Drosophila melanogaster: one gene and its partner. The protein of the gene in region 1 purifies or fractionates together with the protein of each later gene. This does not show direct contact. Each region holds a gene or a part of one and is shown on either strand. Other genes may lie near its edges. The genes, in order: Polr2F and CG8117.

The links.
Region 2: the proteins of Polr2F (region 1) and CG8117 purify together in Drosophila melanogaster (affinity purification with mass spectrometry, with the first as the bait; one large-scale study listed by BioGRID). This does not show direct contact.

What each region holds. Positions count from the first base shown.
Region 1 is NT_033777.3:5,369,797-5,373,184, reverse strand, and holds Polr2F (RNA polymerase II, I and III subunit F), read right to left. Parts: upstream 1,391-3,388; 5' UTR 1,299-1,390; coding exon 1,270-1,298; intron 1,208-1,269; coding exon 841-1,207; 3' UTR 788-840; downstream 1-787. Other genes in the region: hd (humpty dumpty), read left to right, coding at 1-510; CG34277 (uncharacterized protein), read right to left, coding at 1,710-1,750, 1,809-2,699, 2,762-2,765; CG31542 (uncharacterized protein), read right to left, coding at 2,935-3,388. UniProt on the Drosophila melanogaster protein: DNA-dependent RNA polymerases catalyze the transcription of DNA into RNA using the four ribonucleoside triphosphates as substrates.
Region 2 is NC_004354.4:15,642,068-15,645,522, reverse strand, and holds CG8117 (uncharacterized protein), read right to left. Parts: upstream 1,302-3,455; 5' UTR 1,233-1,301; coding exon 744-1,232; 3' UTR 532-743; downstream 1-531.

The DNA of each region.
Region 1 (3,388 bases):
GAGTGCCAGGGATTCTTTAGCTATCTGCTAAATGCCAAGAGTGCCATCAGCACAGTGGGCCGTCTGGCCGGAGTGCCTCCCACTCTGCTGTCGCCAGTGGCCTTCCCCAAGGCCACCATGCAGCACTTGGTTCCGCGGTCCAAGAAAGTGCGTCTGGATGGCGTCGACTACTTTAGCATAGACATTAAGGGCCTAATCCTACCTACATTCCTGCCCAGTGTGGCGGAGCTGCTGTCCGAGACGCGCCAGATGTTTAGCTCCACGCTGGCCAGCAGCATCAATACGCTGGCCTTTAGCAAGGCCACCCAAAAGCTGCTTGAAACTCCGGAGACGCCACAGTCAGATGCGGAAGGAGAAGATGCCGCCGGGCAGGTCTTTGGCGAGCAGAATCTTTCGGAGTGTGGTCTGCTGCCGGCAGTAGTTGGCTCCATCTGCCGCACGGGCCAACATGCCGTAGGTCTTTTAGAGCGCGTTTGCTATCAAAGAGATGAGGGATATGCTTGGAGCTAGACACCAAGTGCTCCTCACACTAGAGCAGCTTTGTTTTCCTAATCTGTACGTCTGTTATGTGAAATAAAATATTGTAGTAGAATAGCAAGCCCGTGGTGTCATTGTTTTTCGTACTAATCGCATGGTAGCAAGTATCTGTGGCTACTTCAGATTATAGCGGTATTAAGAGATAATATTAAAGCAAAGGGATTGCTTACAAGATAACTATCGTGTAGCAATTAGCGCTTGCAGTTCGTCATTACATTAAGTCCCCGGGAATTCAGCAGCCAAATTGATTGTGCTTAATCTTAGGCGGTATGATTTATTATGGATAAAGGGGTTGAGTACTAGCTAGTTGTCCACCATGATGAGCTCGTCGATGCTCCAGTCCTCGTAGGAGTGATCCGGCAGGTATCGGCGGATGATGATGGGAATTTTCTTTTGTTTCAGCTCTTTCATGGCGATCTGCAGGGGGTCCGTTTCCCCGTCCAGCTCCACCATGATGGGTGCGCACATGGCGATCTGAAGCGCTCGTGTGCCCAGAACTCTGGCGCGCTCGTATTTCGTCATGTACTTTGTGGTAATGCGCTTGGACTTGGGCACACCGCCTCCGCCCGCACCACCGGGAGCTATGATCTCGATGTTGTCCGCCTCCTCCTCCTGGTTAATGTCCTCGTCCACGTCCTCGTCGACGTCGTCGAAGTCATCGCCGCCAACGCTGCAATTGTTAAGTAGGTGATTAATGGGCACAGCTATTGATTGTGTTACGCCTGCACTTACTCGTCGTTGTCGTAGTCCGCATCATCCATCACTGCTTTTCTATTGTTTTAATCGAAATTAAATAGTAAAGTGCGGCGTGTTTTGCACGCGTCGCAGTCTTCTTCTTCTTTCACACTGCTGCATGCGGTTTTCAGCACTGGAGCACAGTGCGCAGAACTTCCAGTGCTTCTCAAACTTTCAGGGCTGCATTTCTGGCAAATGGAAAAGTGATTACTTATCGAATAGCCGTCTGTGTCGCGAGTATTTGAAATTGGTGGAATTCGTATAAAGGTTAGACTATTTGAATATTTTAAAGTTTAAACTACTAAAATCTGATTTATACGTCTTCCTAAAATAATTTAATCCAATTAGAGTAGTTGATTCCATAAAATTTAAATTATAAATAGTTAAATAATAATCAAATGAAACACTTACCTATTGGTTTGTTATATTTTAGCCCTTCATCTAAACGGACATTTAACGTAATCGAATTCAGTATTTTCTTAATAAAAAAAGGGAATATTAGTCGCCTGCTCCTGGATAACTTGGAAAATACAAACCTTGTAATCCCGGATGAGTTCTGTGATAATATGGACGCTGGAGTGATGCGGTTGGTGGGCGAGTTCTGGGCAAAGATGCCGCGGGACAACCGGCTGGATTAGGTTCGTACGAAGGGGGGTATGCCGGAGAATATCCGGATGGAGCTGGTGGATGTCGATTTCCGGGCGGACTGCTTGGAGCTAGATATCCCGGCTCGTAGTCGTAGTCGACGCAGGTGCGAATGGAGACGTTTCTTCGTCTGCCAGCGGGGCCTCGATGGATGGCTTCCCTGTCGAAGCGATTCAGATCGAAGTTGGCTAGAGGATCCACTTCCCGCTGACGCGTGCTTCTGGGAGGATACGGATAGTAGGGATCCTGGGGTTCCTGGCAGTTTTCATTTATCGCGTGAACGGCGGGCTGAAACGATCGCGAGGAGTCGCTGCATGGAATCTCAGAATGTGGGTCCGGCTGCAGCAGAATTGGCTCCTCCAAAGCCACTTTCCGATTCTCGCCTAACCCGATGGGGTATGGATCCGAATGATACACCCGTGTCCTCCGCGCAGCTGCTCCACTATGTCCGTTTCCTGGGCAATTGGTACAGCATCTCTGCGGCTTGTTCCCGGAGGTGTCGCAAACCATTTGCCTTGCGGGCTCCGGAGCTAAGGCACAGCAGCATCGCTGGCGGATCTTAGTGGGCGGAGGTAAACTACGGCTTATCGGCGCTTGAGGAGTGCAGCAGCACCGGGTTTCCGCAGCCACGCCCTTTGGTGGCCGCTGTGAGCGAATCACGAAGCAGTGGCGACTGCGATTCCGCTCCGGATTCCGCTGGCTTCCGCGGCAGTTGCAGATGTCCTGCCCGGAGCTGAGCTGCGCTGGCCTCCGACCCACCTGGTAGGCGCTCGGACTGTTCCCTGTCCGGAAGGAGACGCTGATGTATTAAAGGAACACACACATACCACCTGTTTTACTTTACCCATTAGCGGTCACATTGGCTTTATTGACCCGGAAAACAGGTCGAAACTGGAAATTTGGCTAACCTGAAATTTGGGAGTACTGTCATGTCATGTTGTGAGCGTTATAATCTGTGTAGCCTGCTGCGTAGCGCCTGCTGGGATCCCAACGTTCTCCCGTGGCACGACATCCAGATCACTGAATGACGCACTTCTTCTGCTTCTTCTGCGATCGACAGTGGCCGCAGGAGTTCGGGTTCTGACTCTGGTTGCCGTGGTGCGGGCGATAGGGTTGCGGTCCTCTGGGCACGTTCTGGCCACAGGTCACGTTGGCGTAGGTGGGCTGGGCCATCGCCTGCTGCTGCTGTTGGTTGGGAGGCGGGGCCACCGGCGGGGCGCAGTGGCACTCCGTCTTGGCGGGCTTCTCGCGACAGGTGCAGCGGGTCTCCAGGGCAGGCGGCTGCTCCCGCGGACCCCGGCTGCACGTGATGTGGTCCGCCTGAACGGATGGCGGAGGTGGCCGGCTACGGTTCTGAGTGCACGTGCACTCCACGGTGGGGGCTCCCCGGCTCTGGTAGAGGCTGCATGCGGCGGGATCGCCCGGCGGCTGCGTCGAGTTGACCTGGCACCCGCCTGCTCCCTGGCCCCGC
Region 2 (3,455 bases), on another chromosome or scaffold:
ACGGCGGATATTAATTAATTGGCCCGTCTCTGGGGAGCAATTCCCATTGTGCCCATCAAGAGTCCACCTATCATCCCAGTTCGCAGTCCAAACCTGAATCCCAAACCCATAATCCCATTCAATGCCGTTAATGTGGGCCATAAAGCAAATGCTTTAACGTCTATAATTTGTCTGCACTTGGAAACGACCCACGCATACTAAACATAGTATACTATACTATATATACCATCTCATCCAATTCAATTCAATCCAATTCAATCCCATCCGATCCCACCCACTCCGAGATCATCGCGCCGAATGATTCATTAAAGTGTAAAGTGCTAACTAATAGTCGAAAAATTCATTAAATTAACGCTCGCGCTATGCTCGTTTTTTATACAAGCAAACTCGTATATTGTTGAATGTTTATGAAACAAAGATTTGCTTTCTTTCGGACTTTCGGTGCTAGTTTATCTGCTTTCGCAGGCGAACAAAGGAGCATCCATCGATGATGGACTCATTGATACCCTCTGGTATTTAAAACGAATGAATAAGATTTTTATGACATGTAATATATTTCCATAATATGTATGTTGTATGTTGTATGTTGTATGTATTCTTGTTAAAGTATTATTTACATATTGTGGAAGCCAACGGAAGATCAGTCTGTTTATTGATATGAGATATTGTGAATTGTGTGAGTTCGTTTGCTTGGTATCCAGCCAAGACGGGTGACTCCTTCAAGGGACTCTCTCCACGGTTGTCTAGCTCTTCCAGCGGTTGCCGCACTCGTCGCATATCACAAAGGTGATAATGGGCTCGTCACCATCACGGATATGCAATTGGCTGCAGTTGCGTTTGTCGCAGCGTTCGCATTTGAACTGATCCGTCTTGGTGCCCTGAACCTTGGCCATCTGTGCCGCATTGATCGAGTCCTGAACGTACTTCTGGCGCATCTGCTTCATATCATCGCTGGCCATCTCCTCGGGCGTCATCTTGGATAACTCTTCGGGCGTTATTTGACCTAATAGGAACTTCTGGCGCAGCTCTGGATTCTTCGGATCGCGCAAGTTGGCCAAACGCGAACGTATGCGATTTTTGTACTTCACCTTGCAGCCGTTCAAGTCGCCGTAAATTGCGTCCTCCAGTTTAGCGGCCATGTCATCCGGATCGCCACATCCTGGTGGCATGTTGCCCGATTTCAATGCGGTTGCCAACATCTCGCGGCACTTGATGCGTATTTCCATGGACATGGCTGCAAAATCGAAAGAAAGTTTAGTGAATTTATTCAACGAAACCGGAAAGCACAATTTTTAGATTGTGAGAAGTTGAGAGGTCACTGAGAGATGTCTAAGCTGACAGGAACGGCAAGGTAAATGAAGGTTTTTACTCGGCAACTTTACAACCCAACTTGATTAAGGTCTAAATATTTCGGATTTATTATGCAATATTTCTACTTAATCATTTCTTAACCGTTGTGATTAGCATGTAATTAGTATGAATTTGAATAGATAAATCTACATATGTATAAATGTTCGATTTGGGAATCCCCTGCGTAATGCATCACTATTCCATAACGCCCGCTGTGGCCCCCAAGAAATGTGCTAAAATTGGACACTGAAAGGAAAACCAAACACAAATGAAAATCAAAATCGAAATGGAAATGATATTTCCCATTTAGTCTATATGTTTGTGTTTGTCGTTCCGCTTTCTTTGTGCGCCGCTGGCTTTTGATTTCGCTAATCGTCTACAACAAACAGCGCGGAGATGATCTAATTATTGACGCACGAATCCCGCAGAAGCACCAAAAACAAAAGGAAAATGAGTAATAAAAAAAAAAAGGAAAATGGGAAATGGAAAATTGAAATATTGAAAAGCCAAACAACAGTGACGAAGGGGGGGGGGGGGGGGTAGCCACAAAAAGTAGGAAAAAAGCCCAAGCGAGCGAAATTGAAAACAAAATCGAAATCATTATCCAAGTCATTAGCTTTTTAGCGAATCGTTCTTTTTATTGTTGCCGGATATAAATCTGCTAATGTACTTAACCACACAAACATCTAAAACACCCACCACCCAGCCACACCCCCGCTTGCCAACGTCCCACTTGGCTTCGCTTTCGTCCCACTGTGCGTGCGCGTTTTTCTAGCGTTTTTAAACGCCTCCGCCGACCTTCAACTGTTAAACTTGACGACCTCAGCGTAACGTAAACAGCCGCCATCGATTCGAAGCTACCCAAATATAAAGATACAAATGTATCTATCTATCAATGGTCTGGGGAATTGGTTCACGGCCGATTACTGACCTTGGCGGCCTTTTGTCTTTCACCTTTCGGCCAACAACGTATTTGGCTTGGTAAACAAGCCCCAGAACAATGGGTAAAACCTTGAACCTTTGTGGCCAATCAATTTCTCCAGATTGGCGAAAATAAAAAGAAAGTGTGTGGCCAACATGAGGGGCAACCAAAGAAAATTTAAGAAAATATCTCAAATATGTTCCTGTTTCAAACTACTGTTCAAAATACATTAGCTTTTGGATAACATTCTTGCAAAATCTTAAATCAAATTGAAGAAAAATCTTAAAAAACACAAATATAAGTAAATAAAGTTTGGACAATGTGGTTTATGTATAATATATTACAAAACATTTGAATGATTACATGAAGATCGATGAGGATTTACTAATAACTCCTGCAGAATCATCAATTATGTGTGAATAAAACTTAAAATGTCCCACTTAAATAGTTAAATTCCAGTACGCAGCAATTTTCCACTAATTTACCTCGATCAATTTGCATTTTCCAAGTTTTCTAAAGTCCAATTGTTGGTTGGTTGGCTGGCTGCCTGGCTGGATGGTTGAATCGATGGCTGGATGAACGTTTCCCATCGCCGGAGTGCAGTTACATTCGCTGCCTATTTGTCTCCCGTCGAAGCCAGCCCACTGCCACGCCCACCCGCCCGCTACGCCCCCGGCGTGGCATTCTTTCACCTTGGCTACGTGATGCCATGGCGTGATCGTGTAACAATGCGAGTGATTAGTACGCGCCGGCGTTCAAAATGCGCAATCCGCCGATGGCAGCGAACTTGCCTTTTTTTTTTTTTACCTTTTTTAACTTTTTTTTCACCGTCATCGTTTTTTGTTGTGTTTGTTGTTGTTGTTGGACTGTAGATGCAGTTTTTGGATGCCGCTTGGCCACAAGCGATTCATAAACGGGCTATATGTGTTTTTTGGGTCGACTGGGATGCAAAAAAATAAAGAAATGAAACAACAAATCAAAATATTCTGTTAGAACATTTATTGTATAAACATTTGAATCTCTTCATTAATCTTAAGAAATATATTTCCACTTTTATGTTAAATGTTTAATTATATTACAAGGAGTCTGATTAAGATATATTCGAATAAGGTTTAGTTTCATAAACATAACATACACACACATAATACCTCGTCTTCACTGGGTATTCGGAAGTTGTCACGCC